4 linked regions of the Coturnix japonica genome follow. The protein of the gene in region 1 purifies or fractionates together with the protein of each later gene. This does not show direct contact. Links are inferred from orthologs where the notes say so. Each region holds a gene or a part of one and is shown in the gene's direction. Other genes may lie near its edges.

The links.
Region 2: the proteins of TSSC4 (region 1) and EAPP purify together in Homo sapiens (affinity purification with mass spectrometry; 3 studies listed by BioGRID and IntAct, counting the BioPlex papers as one, with this or other methods). This does not show direct contact. The link is inferred for Coturnix japonica from reciprocal best matches to the Homo sapiens genes TSSC4 and EAPP.
Region 3: the proteins of TSSC4 (region 1) and PRPF6 purify together in Homo sapiens (affinity purification with mass spectrometry; 3 studies listed by BioGRID and IntAct, counting the BioPlex papers as one, with this or other methods). This does not show direct contact. The link is inferred for Coturnix japonica from reciprocal best matches to the Homo sapiens genes TSSC4 and PRPF6.
Region 4: the proteins of TSSC4 (region 1) and ECD purify together in Homo sapiens (affinity purification with mass spectrometry; 3 studies listed by BioGRID and IntAct, counting the BioPlex papers as one, with this or other methods). This does not show direct contact. The link is inferred for Coturnix japonica from reciprocal best matches to the Homo sapiens genes TSSC4 and ECD.

What each region holds. Positions count from the first base shown.
Region 1 is NC_029520.1:10,938,011-10,943,915, forward strand, and holds the start of TSSC4 (protein TSSC4), read left to right. Parts: upstream 1-2,182; 5' UTR 2,183-2,849; intron 2,850-2,861; exon of another isoform or gene 2,862-2,951; coding exon of another isoform or gene 2,952-2,969; intron 2,970-3,050; coding exon of another isoform or gene 3,051-3,175; intron 3,176-3,195; exon of another isoform or gene 3,196-3,214; intron 3,215-3,737; exon of another isoform or gene 3,738-3,817; intron 3,818-3,999; coding exon of another isoform or gene 4,000-4,072; intron 4,073-5,007; coding exon of another isoform or gene 5,008-5,085; 5' UTR 5,086-5,095; coding exon 5,096-5,905. UniProt on the Homo sapiens protein: Protein associated with the U5 snRNP, during its maturation and its post-splicing recycling and which is required for spliceosomal tri-snRNP complex assembly in the nucleus.
Region 2 is NC_029520.1:32,515,198-32,520,932, reverse strand, and holds the start of EAPP (E2F-associated phosphoprotein), read left to right. Parts: upstream 1-1,702; 5' UTR 1,703-1,762; coding exon 1,763-1,836; intron 1,837-2,767; coding exon 2,768-2,949; intron 2,950-3,758; coding exon 3,759-3,857; intron 3,858-4,212; coding exon 4,213-4,336; intron 4,337-5,038; coding exon 5,039-5,158; intron 5,159-5,735. UniProt on the Homo sapiens protein: May play an important role in the fine-tuning of both major E2F1 activities, the regulation of the cell-cycle and the induction of apoptosis. Promotes S-phase entry, and inhibits p14(ARP) expression.
Region 3 is NC_029535.1:8,474,387-8,479,622, reverse strand, and holds part of PRPF6 (pre-mRNA-processing factor 6), read left to right. Parts: intron 1-722; coding exon 723-845; intron 846-1,453; coding exon 1,454-1,575; intron 1,576-2,670; coding exon 2,671-2,809; intron 2,810-3,798; coding exon 3,799-3,918; intron 3,919-4,609; coding exon 4,610-4,786; intron 4,787-5,236. UniProt on the Homo sapiens protein: Involved in pre-mRNA splicing as component of the U4/U6-U5 tri-snRNP complex, one of the building blocks of the spliceosome.
Region 4 is NC_029521.1:4,227,924-4,232,940, reverse strand, and holds the end of ECD (protein ecdysoneless homolog), read left to right. Parts: intron 1-276; coding exon 277-344; intron 345-466; coding exon 467-687; intron 688-1,206; coding exon 1,207-1,437; 3' UTR 1,438-3,561; downstream 3,562-5,017. UniProt on the Homo sapiens protein: Regulator of p53/TP53 stability and function. Inhibits MDM2-mediated degradation of p53/TP53 possibly by cooperating in part with TXNIP. May be involved transcriptional regulation. In vitro has intrinsic transactivation activity enhanced by EP300.

The sequences.
Region 1 (5,905 bases):
CCCTCCCTCCCTCTTCTCCAGCTGCCAGCTCCACTTGCCTGGCTCAGAGATGAAGAATGTCTCAGTCGCTGCACTCAAATTCCTGCTCTGAGCCGCAGCAGCCTTTGCTGGGCATTAGTGGGTGCTGAAGGGGAAAGGCAAACATAATTAACTGCATGCCTGGTGCTTGATTAAGTGATAGACACAGGCCAGAATCCCCTAATCCCATATGCACCAAATAGAAGTTAAGGGTGCGGTGTTAATTTCTGTGTTTTCTGCCTGACCATTCCTCAGTTTCAGCCTAGGGAGCATCACGCTGTCCTGCACAGGGCAGAAGCTCAGCAGGAGGCAGATACACAAAGATGCACTCTGGTGGTGCAAACATTTCAGCTGACCTCTAGCAGATTGCCTGATGCAGGCAGCTCGCTGCTTCCATTTCAGAGCCCAGGGAACTGGAGAAGAAAGAAAACACAACTCAGCTGCCAAAAATGCTGGAAAGCCCACATCTTCCCACATGCAGATACATTATAGTGGGTATATAGCTGCAGCAGTTAGGCATAGGCAGGTGGACTTCCTGACATTTCTCTGCTGGGATTCAGGAGCCCCTCTAGTCTGATGGTTACAAGTAACATTTCTTGTTACAGTTTAATCACTTTTTACTTTCTTTCTTTCTAAGTGTTTCTTGGCCCTGTTTTGCTAGGGAATCCGCTCATGTTCAAACAGAGCACCCAAAATGTGGTGGTGCGAGGCCAGGCAAATCCTGTCTTACACATGCAGTGTCCCTAACAGAAAACAACTGCAGGTTCTCCCTACAGGTTGGCAGTAACTTTGTCATTGGGAAGAGTCAGGTTGATACCTGTCTTCATTAAATATATTCCCTCCACATGAGTTGATTTTTTCATTGCTCACTTAGCAGGATGAAAACTCCAATGTGAGTACACAGCACTGGAATAAGTCAAACCTGCTTGCATGTGAGCCAGAGCCAAAAGAAAGCATAAAGTAAAACAGGTAAGCAAAAACTGATGTAGGAGAAAGGCAGTGTTAAGCACCAAATCCTGGAAACATCCCACTGGGTTTCAAGGATATTTATAGGCTTTCCTTCTTGTAAATGGGAGAGGTCAGGTGATTATTTCCCCCAGCCTTTACTCATTCTGGCTCGGTGCAACTGCAGTCTTCCAGCAGAGGAGGATGTGCTGTGCAACGCTGTGCTTGAGATTTTTACCTACAGGAAAATGCTCCTTTCCTTCCCTACTTCCCCTCATGAACTCTGGCATCAAGCTGAGCATGGCCATACCAGACTCATGTCCACAGTTGTTCTGGGCGCATGAGATGGAGAAAATACATTGGATCGCTGTGCTTGGCCTTCAGTATCACAGTGGCTGCCGGGGAATTGCCTGCCAGTTTCCTACAGCCATGAAGAGAAGGACAGGCAGCCTCTCCCAGGCTCCAAGTGCAGAAGCCTTCAGTGCATAGGCTGGGGCTGGAGCCTGCCAATTGAGCAGCGGAAACAGTCACCGGATAGGGGCCAACAGCAGATTTATGTGCAAGAAAGGAACACAAGGCTCCCAGCAGCAGGGCTGAACGGAGACGCACTGCTCCCTGCAGAGGCACAGGGCAATCTCTGCACAAGAGCTAAGCCTGCCCCAGGCATAGTGTACTTGTTTGGAAGATGTCCTGTGATGGCACACAGAGCCATGTCGAGTCCCGCACCCCTCTTCAAGCCATCTTAGTTCACGCTGGCTAGGGCTAGGCTTTACCATCTGTTCTTCTTTAGGATCTGACTCATTATTTTTATTTCAGCTGTCACCAAGCAATAGCAAAAATCCCAACACAACAGCACATTCACCATCGTGAATTGCCTTGTCTGCAGTCAGCAAAGAACAGCTCATCCCCAGTTCTCTGCAGTGTGTGAGACTCACCTTCTGCACAGCGACAGGAAAGGAGTAAAAGGATACAGACAGCTGATGTAGTAACCTTAGCCATCAGCTGCATCCTGACAAAGAAAAGCCCAACCCCAGATCCATGGCTTATGCTGCTTGCCTCCACCCTTACAAAAATAGGGCATGACCACGCTTAATGCACATCCTTTCCCTGCCTGCTGCTGGTATGCCCAGACAGCATTATGCAGCAGGCTCAGCCCTCAGCCACTGTCTGTGTCTCCCCTGCCCATTGCCTGTCTTTGCCTGTGACTCCTGTTTCTGCTCACACGCCAAAGGACCCTGCTTTCCTCTCTCTTCCCTCCAGACAGGAATCCATCTGCCTGTGTCTCCGCTGTACATGTATATATGTTTAAGGAAAGGCTTACCAAATGGGGAAACACCTCTAGAGCCTCTGCTTTAGAACTTAAAGCTTTTAGCTGAAGAAGGGGGAAAAGAACCAGATGGCCTCAGCCAACACCAATAAAACATGTTCCGACAGAATTCCACATCTTGACACATGAACAAAAAAATGTTCTTTTGGGACAGAGGATGGAAACTTGCTTTTGGCCGGACACTTGTCTCACACCCCAGTGACTGAAGGCTTTCTGGTTATAAAGTACATGCAAATAAAAACTCCACGCTTCCTCTGAACCGCTCGCTGCTGCCAAGCCCAAGAGATGAGGAAAAAACCAACGCCTGACTTGTTTTTTCCACGCGGTTTGGATGAGGAGGGGCCACCCCCGACAGCTTCACAGTCTGCAAAATGGAGGGCGAGCTCCTGGGAGCTGTAGTCCGGCCGCGTCGCTCTCAAAATGGCCCCCAACGGGGAAAGCGCAGACAACTACAACTCTCAGGATGCAAAGCGAGGTGACGCTAACGGGAAGCAGGGTTGTACTTCTGCTTCCTGCACTTCCCCACCTCCACCTTCCTCCGGGCTTGCGCGGCTTTGGGGTATGGGGCGTTTATTCGGTGCTGGGTGTGAGCGGGGAGGGGGGGGGATCCCGGTCCGGGGAGCTGGGTCCTAGGTTGGCAAGGAATGCGGTATATGGGCCCATGGTGCAGGGTGCGGCGGTGGGTTGTGTCGTAGTGCTGTCTGTGCGATGAGAATGGGGTCGAGATTTGGGGTGACGGAGCTCTGTGTTTGCCTCCCAGCTGCAGGAGGGTGAGCAGAGCCAGCAGAGCAAGGCCAGGATGGGAGAGGCTGATGGAGAACGTGGCAGCCAGAGAGACACGGGCCTGTGTGTGCTGTGCAGTGCCCACGTTGCTGTAATGAACGTGTGAGTTTGTCTGGTGTGTTGTCAGCATCTGCGTGTTTGGTATTAACACTGTTAAATTATTCTTCCAGTAGCAACGTTTTCCCTTTCTGTACAAATGCTCTTAGCAAAGAGGTGCCCTCATTCATAGCCTGAAACATCTGTTTTGCTCAGCCCTGCTTTTTGGTGTTTCTTTTGAGTTGCACTCGTTTCTTTCATGTGTTATAAAACTAAAGAGAAAGGTGCAGGATCTTCAAATGATTATTTTGCATTTGGGGGTTGCACTAGAGGCCACGTTTCAAAAGCAACGGTGTCAAAACACAGCCAGACTACACAGAACACAGCATTCAGGCCATTCAGTTCTTTGCAAGCTTCTCCACATACTAATTCCTCATGCAGATCTGTCCCCAGTGGTGAATACAACCTTTCTTTGCAGGCATCTCTGTGGTGTCCTGGGTCTCTTTCCTATTGGCATGTAGTACCTGCAGTGCATATCTGGTACCTTCTTGGCTGCAGTTAACACAGTACATTTACTAATAGTTTACTGCATGTGTAAATTACAGCTTTGTTTTGTTTTTTTTTAAAGCCTCTCTTCTGTTGTAGAGAATAAGACTTGGCTTTGTGAATGTGGAGACTGAGTAACTGTGGTGGAGCCTGTCCTATTAGGTTTGTGCTGTTCTTTTGCTAGTATTCAGGATTATCTGAAGACTTTTTTATGCAAGCTTGAGCTTGTGTCAGATTTAGAACTCTGCTCTGTAGCTTTGGGTGACTCAGGGAGAAAGAATTATTTTCAAAACTCTTTTTAAAACTACATTTCCAGTATCTTGATGGAAATGTTTGTTTTCTAGGGTGGAAGTGCTGAGATCTTTGGTGGCTTTAACTGACCCTCAGGAGGGGAAGCTGACTCAGTCTCAGGAGAAAGTGAGTGACCAGCACACTTTCCATGTCTGTTTACTGCGGCTTTTCAGAAGAACCTATAATTGTGTAGTTTAACTTAACCTAATAGTAAATGAGAACACTTTCCCTAATTCACGTTTTGGAGAGCTGAACTGAAGTGTATTTTTGCCAAGTCTATTTTTGACTGCCCAACAAGCAGTGGTGTTTCAGCCTGTACTGTACTGGAACTCAGGGTTCAGGTCACTGTGTCTTTTGATTGACCAAATGGGCAGCTCTTGCTGACCATTGCTTGCACCCTCCCCTTGTTTCCAGTGTGCTCACACAAGCATGGCATATGCAATTATTTTTCATAATCTGTCTCAATTCATTTCTCACGCTCACTTATCATGTGATTGCAACTATCTAGTAATAACGTAAAAGCTTAAAGCCAAGGAAGGAGTGCACCTTGTACTTTGTCAGTTTAAAGCTGACACAGAACTGTAGCTCTGAGACATTACAGGCTGTTCTGACACATTCCTTGATCAGCAGCAGGGCCCTTTTTAATACGTAGAATATGATTGGGGACGGATGTGAATTGGCAATGAAGAATTGCAACAGACAAAAGAGATTAGGATTTGTTTTTATGGATTTATATGGTATGGGTAAATGAACGGTGTACTTTGGAGAGTCACTGCTGTTCTTGGAAGAAGATATGTGGAACAGTTATATTCAAAAAACTTATGCTCATCATTTAGCAATTGGTCTTGCTGTTACCTTCAGTGAAATTCAGTGCATCACTATTTATAATTACTTTGCATTCTTGTACTGAATTTTGTGGAAGTCTTTAATATTAATGTGCATCTGTTCCACAGCAATGTACTGTGATATAGCAGTAATCATTATCAGGCCTGTCCCAGAGTGATGGTCATACGTGTGATTTTCATTGCGCAGTTGAATTTTCATGCTCTTTTATATTGTAGGCATTAAAGCTGCTGGACATTTGGAAAACCGTATTTACAGCCATTCCTGGGCCTGCGTTAAGGACCTCAGTGGAGTGATAGCTCAAAGATGGGAGATCAGGATGATGCTGAACCCTTCCTGGGCACCAGGACTGCCACTGCAGCAGACTACGAAGGAGCTCAGCCCTCTGACGCAGTGTCGCTCAGCGATTCTGATTCCGATGATTTGGGATTAGCAGATGAAGCAGAAGTTGATACAATATCTCCTGAGGATCCATCTGTAGATGATGGGGATTACAGACCAGGGGACACTGCTGACCCATCAGAAAGCAGCGAGAGGTCTCCTGTTCAGCCATTCCTTCTGAGGGGCATGAGTTCTACATTCTCTCTCCGCAGCCAGAGTATTTTTGATTGCTTGGAGGAGGCAGCAAAATTGTCTGTTCCCTCAATGTCTGAAGATAATGTTGTTGATGGGAGGTTTAAACGTCCCTTACCTCCAACTACCATGTCAAGTAATGTAATACCAGAAAGCCTTGGAAAGCCAACCAGACCAGTGCAGTCTCCCAGAATGTCTCCAGCAGTGCCTGACTATGTGGCACACCCAGAGCGCTGGACCAAATACAGCCTAGAGGGAGTGTCAGAGTCTAGTGACAAGACTAACAGGGCAGTGGCTATGGAATTTCTAGAAGGCTTGAAGAAAAGAGGGGAGGAACAAAGCTCAGCTGCCCAAGACAGCTACACCCCATATTTCAACCAGGATCCTTCCAGCTGTGGAGCTGGGAGGATTGTATTCACCAAACCTTCAAAAAGGGGTGTTGATGGAATAGAAAAGAAAATATCGACAGGAGAGGGTGATAAGAAACAAATCAAAACAGATCTGAAAGGAAAATCTGTAAAGACTGATGACATGAGGGAGGAA
Region 2 (5,735 bases), about 22 Mb from region 1:
CAACAGCTTACTTGTTATTCATGCATATTCATGTTTATTTAATCATTATATGCTTTCATTGTTCAGAAACCAAATGCTCTGTTTTTGTGAAACTAGCCAATATAATTACGTTCATGTTATGAATACTACGATACAGCTGCCAATCATTTACCTTCGTAAGTAATTTCTGAAGTTCACCATTTGAAGTACATCGTTCAAATGGCTTAACTATTACCATTAGATATTTGAATATTGTTACTATAATGCATTGTATACACACTGTCTTAGTTTTTTTCCATTTACTGATATCAAGAAACTTAATCTTTTTTTTTCAATTGTGAACATTTCTTAGAAGTTTTGAAGAACTTTGTGTAACCTTTATAACTATGATTTAAAAGGAAAAGCAAATACATTAGTATGTTTGCCTTAACTTGTAGACTAATCCAATTATTGTAAAATAAACCATGAAATCAATGATTTTTCTAAAATTATGCAGACATTGTATCATCTATAAGCTTAATATTTTCTAGTAAATCAGATAAAGTAGATTTTTCTCTGTTCATCCTGTAAAACAGGTACCAGATTGGTTTAACATGAAGTACTAGCCTGGTAATTTTTCACTTGCATTCTCAGGTTTATCCATTTGCCTCTGTTTGTGACTTTCCTATCCAGCATAGTTTTCACCTTAGTGGCTGACTTGTCATTTTCTTTGGTGGAAATGTTTTTTAAGGGAAGTAGCTGGTTTCTTTCCAGAAGGGGAAAGTAAACTGGCAGAAGGGTGTTCAGTAGAAAAAGGTAATACTGCCCCACTTCTATACAAAAGAGAAGCTTTGCTTCAGAAAACAAGTAGTAAAGGCATACCCAGTAAAGGAATGCCTGAACTGTGTCTCCTTCTGCTAACTGGATTTAGAGCTCAGGACACCTTTTGTTGTTTGAATCCACAGTCTCTTGTTTGTTGAATGCTTTCTGTCTCTCCCTTGAACCGCACGTCCTTTCCAAGAGCTGCTGTTCTCTTGTATAATCTCAGAATGTTGTAAAACTAGGCTTTACTTGATTAATCATTCATCACAGGGGGATTGCTGCTTTGTATGGGTTTGTAGCCCTTCAGCAGAGCAGCAGAATTCCAGTGAATGGCATTTTTTGATTGGAGATGCTGACCAATGTCAGTGTCAGTCTCTGTAATTACACTCTCCAGTACTGCTGCATGGAGGGCTAGGTTTATTTTCCAATAGGGTGAATTGCACAGTGTAGTAAAGCACAGCACTGCACATGGAATGCTTCTAAGACAGGGGTTCCTCAGCTTCACATGCTCTTTGCATTGAGTTGCATAGGCACAGCCTCAGACTTCTGGTTATTGGTGCCCAGTGGCTATTAGCAACTCACATCGTGTATATACTATTTTCTATTAATGGCAACCACACTAATACTGTGCTGTTCATCTTCCAAATACAAAGGTGTAATTCCTAAGGAACTCATCTATAAATAGACTATAAGGGACAAAGACTACAATGTATATACAGTTACCACAATTGTAAATATTTTAAGTAGGACTGTGGGAAACAGTTTTTAGACTAGTCCTCGTTGTTCAGTGTTAGTAGCTCATTAAATTTTTTCAATCCTCTTGGTATTGGGTCTGTCTCTTCAACCTTCAGCCCGATCCCTGCTCGGGGCATCACAGCGGGGCGGTGCTCGGTCGGGGGGGGAACGTGTCCCCTTCCGGGGGGCGGAGTTGGGCCTGCGCCGTGCTGCTTCCGCCGGAAGAAGTGCCGGGAGCTGAGCGGCCATGAGCCGCCTGCGGGAGGAGGATGATCCGTACGTGGTGGAGGAGCCCAGCGACGAGGAGCGAGCGCTCAGCAGGTGCCGGCCGGCTCCCGGGGCGGGCTGGGGGCCGCCGCTTCCCTCTGCTGCAGGGTTTGGTCTGCCTCGTGCTGCCGGTCACGGAGGAGGCCGCTGATGGTGGGAAGGGTCTGTCTGCTACGAGTGCGCTCTGGCAGCCCGGAAGGCAAATGGGATCCTGGGCTCCATCAGGAGAGGGGTGGTCAGCAGGGATAGGGAGGTGATTGTCCCTCTCTACTCTGCTCTTGTGAGGCCCCATCTGGAGTACTGTGTCCAGGTGTGGAGCCCTCAGTACAAAAAAGATTGGAGATTTTGGAAAGGGTCCAGAGGAGGAACAGGAAGATGATCAGGGGGCTGGAGCACCTCCCCTATGAGGACAGGCTGAGGGAGCTGGGCTTGTTCAGCCTGGAGAAGAGAAGGTTGTGGGGTGACCTCATTGCAGCCTTTCAATACCTGAAGGGAACTTACTCCCAGGAGGGGAGTAAACTCTTCTAAAGGGCTGATAATAGCAGGACTAGGGGAAATGGTTTTAAGTTAAAAGAGGGAAGATTTAAGTTGGATGTTAGGGGGAAGTTCTTCACTAGGAGAGTGGTTAGGCCCTGGAACAGGCTGCCCAGGGAGGTTGTTGATGCCCTGTCCTTGGAGGTGTTCAAGACCAGGTTGGACGGGGCCCTGGGCAACCTGATCTAGTAAAGGTGTGTGTTTGGTGGCCCTGCCAGGCAGGGGGGTTGGAACTACATGATCCTTGAGGTCCCTTCCAACCCGGGTCATTCTGTGTGATTGTGTGTGTGTGTGTGTGCGCTGCTCCTTTGCATTAAAACCAGTGGGTTTCACATAAGTACACAGATAAGTGCTTCTCGGTATTTCCACACAGCTCAGGTGGTGATTGTTGATTAGCTTGTGTAGCGAGCTGTTGGTAATAATTAGGCGTGTGATGTTTCAATGTTTGTAGCTCTGAAGATGAGGTGGATGTGCTCTTACACGGCACTCCTGACCAGAAGCGGAAGCTGTTACGGGAGTGCCTGACTGGGGAGAGTGAATCTTCCAGCGATGATGAGTTCCAGAAGGAGATGGAGGCAGAGCTCGACACCACCGTGAGGAACATAGAAGGCACGTGGAAATCACCAGAAATGGGTAAATCATTCTTAACACCTGCTTGCCTGTTAAACTGAGGGTTAAGCGGTGTCCAATTAAGGAGTTGAAGTGTTCTTACAACTGAGGGGGGATTTGTGGTAGCAGTGAGGTGCTGAGACCTGTGGAGAAGTCTTAAAATGGCTCTTCCGTCCTGCAGAAATGGGTACTTGGGTACCTTGAGAGCACTTGTTTCATCCATTCTAAGTTTTTTGGTTATGTTGTTTCTGAACCTCTAATTTCCTGTTTCTCTTTGATTTCTTGTTGAATGATCAGCCCTCTTTTTTCCCCGGTGTCTCTGTAACTTATGTTGTAAGTGATTTTCACGTGTGTATTTGGAAGCCATTCACGCAGTTTGCAGTCTCTTTGTCCAATGGCTCAGGACACTATCAACATTTGGAGCACGTTCTTGCTGAAAGTAATGGCATGTGGTGGGTTAAGATTGCAAATCAGGCGGGGAAAAGAGTCAAGAAAAATATTAATCCCCTAAGTGCTCATAACTATAAGTTACATGAAGTAGTGAAACTGTGTAAAGGATTTATCCATTCTGGACTTCGTATGCTGTTTTGGGTGCTGTAGATTGCTCTGGCATTTGAAGAACTTGTATTTCTTTTACCTGTAAATGAAATCACACAAGTAACATAGTTGATTGGGACATGGGAACAAACTGGGAGAGCTGCAGCTTAATACACACAGATGTACTGGGGGGCTCTTGAGTAGGGCAGCTTGGAAATGATGGTTTGTACTGGGCTATATGCATGTTATCCTTTTGGTGAGATGTTCTTACCACTTCCCTCTTCAATTTAATGCAGGTACTTCTTCAAGCGCTGGAGAGGCTGGATCTGCCACCACTTCAAAATACTATGATGACATTTACTTTGATTCTGATTCAGAAGATGAAGACAAAACTGGTAAGGGTCTGAGGGAGAAGGCAGCATCTTCATATTAGTGCTGTATCTCAGATACAGTAGAATCCTCTCAGGGCATCAGAGGCTATTGCTGAAGAGGGACTTTTGGGGGCAGTTACCAGCCTGTATCATTTCAGCAAAGTTCTAGCAACTTTGTGATGTATCCTAATGTATGTAAGGTGTTTTAAAACTTTGGGGTGGTCTATACAGAGGAGAGAAAAGCTAGATATTTATGAATTAATTTACATTTATTGCAGGTATTGAAAATGAAAATTGGAAAGATTATTTTTTGATTAGTTGAGTAGAGAATCATTGTATGTCTGTCTGATGGAACCTGTGCATGCCCAAATCTCTACAGTTATGCAAGATGTCCTGAAAAAAAGAAAGCATCAGCAACGTCGGATTCCTACCAATGATGAGCTGCTGTATGACCCGGAAGAAGACAGTCGAGACCAAGAGTGGGTAGACTCACAGAGGAGGAGGTAAGAGACTGTAAATAATAGGAGGTAGGATGCTTACGATAAACTGCAAAATTCCTGTGAACATGGTGAATATATAGAAAAACCCTTTGCTGTTGTGTTCACTTAGTGCCTTAGAATTTACAGCACAGGGAATTTAAAAACTTGTAAAATTGTTGCATATATGGAATGGAAATAGACTCTTTAAAGTGACAAAATGCTAAAATATGCAGTTTTTCAAAATCAAAACTTCCTAGTTCACTAAGTTTGTTTTGTCTATAGATCTTATCAAAATAACTGTGATGTTGATGAAATACTTGTAATAGGAATAGCTCAAAACTGCTTTACTTTAGGTTTCTTTGAAGGGTGAAAAATGGTTGCTGCAGCAGAAGAGAGACATAAATCTGTTGAAAAGCACATCAATGTATGTTACTTAGAGAGACTGTTCTTGAAATACTTGTCTTCTCCAGGAAAATGATTGTTGGGCACAAATCCACATACTTATCTCAGGATGAAAATCCTCCATACAAATGAAATGGAAAAATTCATGTGTGTGTTTTTTTCCCATAGTGCTTATATTTAGGTAGATTTAGTTAGAGAAGAGTTGTTGTGAAGGAGACAGATATTTACCAATGTATTTTAATTTAAAAAATATTTGAAGGTTAAATTGATGAGCAAGGATGTGTAATTTCACTTTTTTTATCCTCCATATCCTTCATTTGGTAGGTACCGTAATCAAAGAAGAATGTTGCAGCCTCAACAGACAAAACCTTCATCAGTTCCAAACAGTGATGCTGTTTTGAATTGTCCTGCTTGCATGACAACTTTATGCCTGGACTGTCAGAGGTAATTAATGAACAATAAGGTCTTTCTGTAGTGTCTCTCTTTCAGTCATTTGCAGTTTTAGCATGTTCAACAATTTGATTAATTCTGTCTTGCACGGTGGAGCTTACAAAGGGAAGGTGGCTATATGTGAATCAGGTGTGTATGTGAATGCCAGTTTAAAAGAATGGTGATGATCATTTTAACCTGCGCCATGGAGATGAAGAACAAGGAAGAACTTCAGCATAGTGGATAAAGGAATATGTTTAAAAAATGAGACTAAACTAGAAGTTCATTTTGGATGTTGTGGATGCCTCATCTCTGGAGGCATTCAGGGCCAGGCTGGATGTGGCTCTGGGCAGCCTGGTCTAGTGGTTGGTGACCCTGCATATTGCAGAGGGGTTGAAACTACATGATCATTATGGTCCCTTTCAGCCCAGGCCATTGTATGATTCTATGATGTATACTTTTTTCTAATTACGTTGGCTTCATGGTTAGAGGAAGAGTTATTTCAGTGTAGTTATTATTTTCATGTTAATGTGTCTTTTAGGAGAGGGTTAAGCAAAGTCAAGACAGTACATCATTTCTTGGTTTGAGTATT
Region 3 (5,236 bases), on another chromosome or scaffold:
GAAAAAAACTAGGTGAGACTAAAACACCAAGGAGTGCCAAGGGCTGAGATAAGGGATCCACTGGGATGGCAGTTTGCTTGTTGAGCTGTGGAACGTCAGATGTACTTCTTGGAAAATAACCAGCTTTGAGTCAAAGCAGCTGCTGCCTCAAGTGGGAGGGAAGCTTTAAGCCTCCAGTTAAGGATTTATATATGTCTTGCATATGTCTTCTGGCTTAAAAGACACCTGTTTGCCAGAGGGAGGGTGTTGTAGAAAGTCAATACAAATATTGCACATGCAGCAGACAGGAAATATTCTGTTAGTCCTTTATTGGCTCACAGTGCCTCCTGAGGCTGTGTGAAGCAGGCACAGCTAACACATGGAGCCAGGTTTTCTGATGGTGTTTACAGAACGCAGCCTCTGTGCAGGTTCATCACACTGTTACACATCATCCTATTTTGGAACTTTAGTGCTAGAAAAGTAGCAAAAAGTTCTGTGGAGTTTCAGTGATTCGGTCACCTTTGAAAACTGTGAGTTTCCCAAGTTGGTGGGAAGTGATAAATAAGTGGTTTGATGTTCAGGTTTCCTCCTGAATATCTACAGATGCTGTGTTTAAACATAAATCCTTTAAGCCACTTTACTACTGATATCGCTTGCAGTGGGTCCAGGGAGCAGTTGCTGTTGCAGAATCTAACTTACGGTGCTGGTGTCTCAAAATGAGCAGCTTTTGTTCTTGTCCCCAGGATGCTGAGGAGTGTGATAAAGCTGGAAGCGTGGCCACATGCCAGGCAATCATGCGAGCTGTGATTGGAATTGGGATTGAAGAAGAAGATCGGAAACATACCTGGATGGAAGATGCAGACAGTGTATGTCCAGCTGTGATGCTGTGTTTTGTTTCCACACTGGGGGAAGGGGAACTGGAGCCAGGAAAGTAAGACTTGTTTTAATCACTGAAAGTGGATGCGATGTGCGCAGCATCTGCCTGCATTTGGCCGGCCCCCCTCTTGGGGTTATGGTATTGGAGAGCTTTTTTCATACTTGAATTTTCATTAAGCAGGAAGTTGGTGACTCTGAATAGATGGTTTGCTGATTTCTTTGTTTATTTATGGGCTGTCAACAAAGATTAAGGTCTTGTTCAGCAAATTAAGAGTTGAGTTTCAAGGTGTAAACGTTGAAGAGGTGATGTAGGATTGAGCAGGGAGTGTGTGAAAGTTTTACCACGTTTTCTTTGTATGTGGGGAGTAGTTTAAATATGTGCCACAAACTAAGTTATATTTTGGCATGATACTTGAGCACTGAAAGAGACAACTGGAGTGTTTCTCTGTGCTTCCTTTTATAAAGCTGATATCAAAGTATAATGTCCCAATTCATGTAGTAAGCTTCTGAGTTCTGTGTTGAATTACACACGTGTTGTCCTGTCTTGCCCTTGATTTCACTGCAAATTTAATCTGACTTCTGCTCTGCTTTTCCTTAGTGTGTTGCTCACAATGCTCTGGAGTGTGCCCGAGCAATTTATGCCTATGCCTTGCAAGTCTTCCCAAGCAAGAAGAGTGTGTGGCTGAGAGCAGCGTACTTTGAAAAGAACCATGGAACAAGGTACGTGCACTGCATCATCCTCAGATGAAGGTGCTGTTCCTTCTCAGTGCAGTGTGATAGATTGGGAAGGCAGAAGAGCTACAAGGTCAGCAATAAAGTGTATTGTTCCACAGACAGAATTAGTTGGTGAAAGCTCAGTGGCATTGTTTGCAGGGTCTGACCTTTGCTGCGATCAGATTATTTTCTTTGTGAGGTCCTAAAGAGTGCTTTAGGAAAAGAGATTAAGTAATAAGTAATGGAAGTAGCTATGAATAACTGAGGTAAGGATGGTCATCTTTGAGAAAGCATTCCTAGAAAAAAATAGGGAATACAGAATGACATCACCAAGAAATGCAGCAAGTGTTTTGTTTAACTTGTGTAGATAAACTACTTCAGTACTGAGTCTGAACAGCTCTGGCATTTTCTCATAATGTCAAATTATGAATGAATATTACACTGTCACAGCTTGAGCCTCTTATTTTGGTGTTTATTCATGAAGCTCCATGCATCTGAACCTTCCTCTACAAAGTTTATAATAAAGCAAGCAGTCTGTATAGTCAACTTCATATGCAGAGGGAGTTAGTCTTGCTAAAGCTAAATGTGGCTGTTGTGTGGAAGTGAATGTGGAGACAGAATTTGTGCTTTTGGAACAAGTGTGTCTTTGCCTTTGGTGTTCTCCTGTGTTTCCCAGTGGTGGCTGCTGGTCCTTAAGCCCCTTGTTCTACATTTAAGTGCATTTTCCAGAGGAGGAAGAAAATGTCAATAAGATCAAGCCAGCTTCACCTAATAATTCTGAAAAACTTCCTGTCTTGGATTCTGCTGAGGTTTGTTTAGAAGACTGGCTCTTTCCAAGACAAATGAGCTGTTTATACGCATGGTGTCTCAGCAGCCATCAAACAAAGGTGTCTGAACAATGAGCCGTTTGTGGAGCACTGATTTCAGAACCCTTGTGGAAAAAAGACCCCACCCTTTCCTTGTTATGAAACAACTTATCAAGGTTTACAGCGTTGGACTTTGCAACAATATTTATAGCATTGAGTGATAGTGGAAGTTGAATGTGAGAGCTCGCCTTTGGCAGCGCTTCGGGTGATTGTAACTTGCTCTTTCTTGTCTCAGAGAATCCTTGGAGGCTCTTTTGCAGAGAGCTGTTGCTCACTGTCCCAAAGCAGAAGTGCTGTGGCTCATGGGAGCCAAATCGAAGTGGCTGGCAGGAGATGTGCCAGCAGCCAGAAGCATCTTGGCCCTGGCTTTCCAGGTGGGTATGTTAGGTTTGTGTCGTGGTGGTAAATGTGAATTAAAGAGTATGGTGAAGCTTTTTTCTGTCAGCGCTCATCTGATTTCTGCCACCTTTTGATATGAGGAGATTTCCTCTGTTCTTTGATAGTTTTATTTGTCAAAAATGTTCTCCTGTAACATATTAGCAAGCTGGAAGCAAGAATGCATTACTGCTCTTTTAGTGTTATCACGCGGAGCTGTGAGTTCACAGATCATTACTTTTAGTACCATTGCTTCTACCACACCCAGCCACAGATCTGCATTGCCCTGTGCTTGCTATGAGCAGTTGACAGGGTAGTGATCTGCCCTAATTAGTGAGGCTGCTGTTTTACCTTTGGTTTGGACCAAATACCCTGATCTAAAACAAAGTGAATGGAACTGTCCACTGGATACTGGAAGATGGGCAGAGTGATACAGCTCTAACATGGACTGAGACCTCAGGAGCTGAGGAGCAAAAATAAATGGCAGCAGCTTCTCAGCGAGGAGGTGAAAGAGGTTTATCTCCTGAATTTGGCCTTGGTTCTTTCTGTGAATATTCTGAAGATTTCTTGACATGATTGTTACTGAAAAATGACTTGTATTGGAGGAGTGCTGTTCACAGCTCTCTGCTGGGAATCTGAGCTTCAGCTTTTTTGTTCAGAGATAATGAAGTGAGGGTCTCACTGTGACAGACTCTCTGATTTTTGCAGTAGTTAAACTGCGAGTTCAGGAGATCAAGCATTAACGCTTTTCAACAGTTGAGAGACGTCCAACTTTTCAACTGAAACACATCTTTGTGTTGCGCATCTGTTTCGTAGAATTTCTATGAACTTCAAAGGTCAAAGAAGTTTGGGAGGAGCTTGAATGGGAAAAGAAGTCCTAATGTGGATTGACAGAGCTCTGACTTCAATTTTAATCTGGATCAAACGAAGGATTAAATCTGCTGTTGATTCACTGTATGCATTTGTCTGTCATTTTGTGTTCTTGCAGGCCAACCCCAACAGCGAGGAGATCTGGCTGGCTGCCGTCAAGCTCGAGTCGGAAAACAATGAATATGAAAGAGCGAGGAGGCTGCTGGCAAAAGCTCGCAGCAGTGCCCCCACTGCAAGGGTAGGGATGTGTGAAGGGTGGAGAGGCCAAGGCTTCTCATAGCAATGGGGGAGCTGAGTCGTAAGCAGGAGCTCCTTCAGTTCTGTGGCCTCAAGTGATTGACCAGATGGCTCCCTGCCATTGCCTTTTGCAGGCACCGTAGCACTTCTCCAGCAAATTGCAACACTCGGTTGCAGCATGATGGGAACAGAGGCTGGGATCAAGTGAAGGGTTTCACATTTTTTCACACAAATGGCAAAAGTCAGGAAATTCCCAGTTTACAGCTGTTTGTATAATGTTCATGTTGCATAAAAGCGTGTCTTGGAGAAGAGAGAGTGAAAATATTTTTTGCAGAAGACTCAATTATGCTGTGCTAAAGACGGTGCTCATCGGATTTATTTAAAGTTACAGTCTTGTGTTTATCTCTACGGTTACTTCTGCTGTGATAAATGTTGTCAATATTTAGCTGTGCATACAGAATCGTTTCGATTTGACCAAGTAAGAGGAAAAAACCTGGTTTGCTGTGTGGAGATTTGGACCTTTTAGATTGTCCTCTTCTCCTGTCAGTCATGGAGCCTTCTGCTCCAAACTAAGGCTCATGAATAACTTCCCAATGTATGCACAGACATGGGAACCCACTGCATTGGCAGAGTTCTTGTTTTTGTTGCTTTTGTTTCTTCCCCAGTGATAAACGGCTCCGTCTCTTTGTCAGGTCTTCATGAAGTCTGTGAAGTTGGAATGGGTGCTGGGAAACATTGCTGCGGCACAGGAGCTTTGTGAGGAAGCCCTGAAACACTATGAGGACTTTCCCAAACTGTGGATGATGAAAGGACAAATCGAGGAACAAAAGGAGCTGGTAGAGAAAGCAAGGGAGGCTTACAATCAAGGGGTAAGATGCATGTTATTGTAAGCTTGCTTTGTGCTTGTGATATGGACAGATGTCTGTCTTCAAATCAGGATGGAGAGGGCTCTGTCCCATATTAACAGTGGAGGTGATTTCTCTCCCTGTCATTGGTTAAAACAGTAAGAGAAAATTATTAGGGTGTTGAAATAAGCAGTGAGAATTTATCTCTTAGCTGGTGTGTGTGTGCAGAATTCGCTTTCTTGCTTGAGAGAGTTTGCTGTATGCTTGACTACTCACTAGCAGGAATGAAGTCATTACACAATAATTCTCTAAGACCTGCAACGACTAAACAGCAGAACTTCTTAACAGAAGACCCTGCTAATAAGGTTAGGTAAACACTGTAAAAGGAGATTGTCTGCTGAGTACTCATGTGTCTTCTAAATGGTAATTGGCGTCCTGTAGGAATGCTCCTGAAACTCATCTGCCCTGCAAGTA
Region 4 (5,017 bases), on another chromosome or scaffold:
CCGATTCTGTGATCTTTCAAAGTCGGAAGATGTTCTCTTTAGCAGAGCCCTGAAGCAAACACCTGTATTAGTAGTGACTAGCTTTTAAACTGGCTTGGTCACTCACCACTCAGATGCTCTGGTGCAGATAAAAGTGGTGGGAGATGCTTTATGTTCCAAAGCTCCTTACTTGGTTTTGTGGGCTGTTTTGTTTAGCAGCATGGCAGCCAGTCCGTGCCTGTGTTAGGCCTGTGCAAGCAGAGGACCTTTGTTTATTGAATACATTTCTTATTTCAGGTCATCTGATGAAACCAATGTTACCTTCGATGTAGATTCTTTCACAAAGGCGTTAGACAGAATTTTAGGTGAGACTGCTTGCTTCTTTTGTCAGAGTACCTCATTTTTATTTAGTGTCTCTGGGTTTTCTGATGATCCACGTGCGCTGTGCTGATTTCCTTGCTGTCTGTGCTTATGTGAAAATACACAGGGGCAGACTCAGAAGAGCTGGATTCTGATGATCTGGATGAAGAGGAGGAGTTTGACTTCTCAGATGAGGATGAAGATGACCTGGATGCTGAAAATCGAAGGGAAGACGACGAGGTATCAGCTCATGAACTTATAGGCAGTCTTAAGTCATATATGGATGAAATGGACCGTGAGCTGGCACAAACCAACGTTGGAAAAAGTTTTACCACTCAGAAGAAAGGGGTGAGTATGCCTTGAATACCAGTTTGTGGCATAATCATTTGAGAGCTTTGTTGGGAAAGAAGGAGTCTGCTACAAGAAGTCATTGTGAGTAACATGATGAGCAATTTCTGTCCTCCAGCCTTGTGCTGATTACCAAGAAAAATAATCCTATGGGCAAATCGCACCACGGTATCTTGGAAGCAAAACTTAGCTCAGCTTTAATGTACACATTGATTCCAAGACTTGGTTTCAGGTCCCTGCAAGCTGCAGTTTGAGTTCTTGAGTTTCCATCATCAATCAGTCCCATGGGACACTGAGGCAGGACTCACTAACCCTCTGTGCATGTCATCCATATAATGGAAAGTGATGATTTTTAACTGGCATGGGTATTTGGTGACCACATTCCTGTCTCTCAAGGCAGATGAGAACACACTGAACTTTGTTGGTGACAGAACTGCCTTCTTCATTTCTTATGTTTTAATTCTTCCTTTTTTGTATATGATTTGTCTTGATGGAACCTTCTCCTTGTGCTTACTGCAGGCAAGTTCCGCTAAAGCAACAACATTGCAAAATACTGGCCTTGACTCTGAAGAGGAAGATGCTCAGTTGACACCAGTTGATGTGGATATGAACCTAGTAACTAATCTGCTTGAATCTTACAGCGCTCAGGCTGGACTGGCAGGACACACCTCTAACATTTTACAGAGCATGGGGGTGTATTTACCTGAAAATACAGATCGTGCCAGTTCTGGTGAGGGTGCAGCAGAATGAGAGACTGTCTTAATTCAGAAGACATGACTGACTGGGAAAAGAGACATGGGAAGAGCAGCAGCATTTGGAAGGAGAGACAAGATCTGCATTTAAAGCACACTATACATGTGTTTTGTGTGGCTTCAAAGACGTAAAGGGAATTTACCTGGAAGCGGAAGGACAGCGCTCTCTTGTTTGGATTTGGGAATGCTGATCCAATGCTCATCAGCCATTTTAATTTCCACAAGTACCAGTGCTGCTTTGGAAGAACTTTTGATAATTGCTATATTTGGTTTTGTTTTGTTTTGTTTTGTTTACTAATTAGGAGTATTTGATGACGAGTAACCTGATAGAATCTGTAAATATTGCTATATTTTGTGAATTCATTTAAAATAAAACCAGAAGCACAACGTGATTGCTGGAGCTGCTTTGTTGCTTTGAAGGCATGCATAACTCCTGTAGCAAAGCAATGCAAGTTCTCGAAGTTGAAGCATTTTCACAGGGGCCTATTTTGGGTTTTATTAGGACTGAGCATCGGTTGTGTGCCATCAGCAGCTGATGAATCCATCCCTATTCTAGTAACAGCTGTCTCTCAAAGTTTATTTCACCTACAAGGTTCTGTTTGTCCTCTGGAGTGAGTAAGTTGTATTTGCACTTAAAGGAGCTACAAGCCAGTGCAATTTTGGATTAATTTCTGGTCAAGTTACCTGGAGCCAGGTTGACCTTCACAACCTACTTGTCAGGTATGGGCTGATGCTCTATGGAGAGCCTCCTTTGAGTCTCTGTATAGTTCCTGCATTTCTTCATGGCTAGTGATGATGGAGTTTACAGGAAAGGAAATACAGCAGTTGGTTACAAATGCCAAATGCTTTAGTTGGTGTCCATTCTGATGTGTCTTTACAAGTCTTAATGTCAAGAGGGAGACTGCCTAACGCTTTGTGACATTCAAGGCTATTGAAGGGTTTTCATACTAGCAACCTGTAAAGCAAAATAGTCCTAATCAGCTGTTGGTTTAGGAAAAAACCCTTTTGTATTTGTTATTTGAGGGCCATAGCAATAAAGAATGCATTAAAATGTGTTCAGCTTGTGGGATGAGCACAGCAGTTGTTTGCATGCAGAGGCTGTGAGAGTATCTTGAGAACATAGATGGCACTACATGCTCAGAAACAGGCAGCTGAGTGTGTTCATGTGTTTATCTAGGATGAGAGCAGGGAGCGAGAGAAAAGCACGTGGTAATTGGGGTGTTGTGAAAACATCCCCTGTTAACCATTTCTTAGTTCTGATGGTTCCAAGGAAGTCAGGGGTCACAAACGAACAGTGACATCTGAGCACCAACACATGTGGGATGTGCTCTGTTTTCTCCTAGGGTAAAGCGACTTAAATTATCCTCTGGCTTATAGCAGGTTATCTGTCATACCTGAGTTCAGATTTGTCATGTTTCTTACTCTCAGTTCTTCCTTTGTGTCATCCTGTGCCTTCTGAATATGGAATAGATGTGCTTTTTCACAAGTTTTGGATGATTATGAAGCAGTTTAAATCCTGATAATGTGATAGAGACATCTGCTACCTACTGAGCTTCCAGTTTCAACTGCAGCATATTTTATCCTTGTTTATAGCTTGAAGGAAAAAGACTCAGTTCAGTAGACATGATTAGTTAAGGGTTAATTGTCATAATACGGAATAGCAAAACTAATGGAACCTATACCTGCTGTACCTTGCTGTCTTAGGCTTGAAGTCCTTGTTATAAATTTCTCAAGCCTTTATTTCAGTGCTGCATAGAAAAGACTGTGTGGACATGCAGTGTTCTCAGTCCACTCCTTAGTATGTTCTTACATGCTTTTAATATGTTAAAAATGGCTTTCTTGCCTTGTTGGTGGTGAAGATAAGCCATCCACCCCTCCCGAAGCTATTTAATATGTAGTAGAAAGAAGCCTCTGCATTGTGTTCTTGTTAAGCTTCTAAACAGCAACTAATACAGGCTCTTAAGTTATTTTATGATGCTGCTATGCCTGCTGATTCATTCTGAACTTCCATTAATATGTGTGTTACTGTCTGTCTAACCCTAGTGTTTTTGAAAATCAGCTAATATTTCTTCTTTTTCTGTGTAATACCCACCTGTGCACAATACAGTTTATGTTGTTTTATTGACTGGACCTTGGTTATTTAAGTGGCTGCCTCTTCTACTAACGTTGTCCTGTTTTCTACTGGGTTAATTAAAACTTCTTTGCAGTTTGAGCCACTGCAAGAATATAATTAAATACCAGTGTTGAAATTAGTATTCAGACCGGAGATTTCCAAGTCTATTATACTTTAGAGTGTCACAATGAGAACATGCTTTGAAATAACTTATATGTCACTTAATGCAGAGCCTTGAGGTGTTCTGTAGTGGCCCTTCTTTTCCTTATTTCCTAAAGGAGGAAGTCCCCTGCTCAACTAGTGACCTGATTTGGTAACTCTCTATGACGTTACTGAGTGTCAGACTGCTTCAGTTGCTTCATTCTTCATTTCCTGTGGACTATGGGAAGAAGAAGGTGGGCCATCTGTTTTTGTGTCATATTAAGTTCCACTCAGAAACTCTGTGGGGCTGGAAAGTCGCTTATCATGATCAAGAGTACAGTGTGTTAATATAACATATGTTATAATAACATTATACATACCACAGCCAACAGTAGGGGGGATAAATGGCTGATATAGAACCTGTTTGGATGAGTTTCACAGGCTCCCAGTTGAATTACATTCACAAATGCTTAAATATGTCAGCTAATGTATTTGTTTTCTCTTACTGGGCGCTTAAGCTGTGCAGGTATAGGTGGGGTAATATTTTTTCAGGAGTATAACAGGCTAGAGCTAACACTGCCTCTCAAACATTATCAGACCTATAAAGCACTTGCAGAAGAAAAGGAATAAATGCATATGGTATTTTTTTATAGAGTTGAGGTTCATCTGAAGGTCCAGCTGTAGGAGAGGAAAACAGCGGGGAAAAAAAGAATTAGAAACTGCATGGTTTAGCAACAGTGTGTAAAAAAGCAAGTTTAAAACCAAGGAATGCCTAGAAGAAATAACAAAACTGAAGAATTTAAGTGCTTATTTCTTCAGGTGCACATATTCCTCATGTTGCCAAAAATACAATGGAAGTATTTGAGAGACTGCCTTTCCAAAACCCCCATCAATTCAGAGAACCTTAAAGAATCAAGCTCTGAACATGCAGGAAATAGGCCAGTCTGCCTCACCTCTGTCCCTGGAAAGATGATGGAACAGGTTGTGCTGGATGCCATCTCCAGACAACTGGGAGAAAAGGAGGTTATCAGGAGTAGTCAGCATGGGCTCACCAAGGGGAGGTCGTCCTTGACCAACCTGGTGGCCTTCTGTGATGTTGTCACTGGCTGGTTGGATGTGGGGGAGAGTGGTGGTTGGAGTCTACCTTGATTTCAGCAAGGCATTTGATACTGTCTCCCGTGACATCCTTATAACAAAGCTGAGGAAGTGTGGGGGAGAGTCCAAGTCAGGAATCTAGAGGCTCCTGGTAGGAATTCATGTTACGACTTCGTTACTTGTTTGAGTCTGTCATCTGTCAGAGGCAAAGTAGAATTTCAAGGAAGAA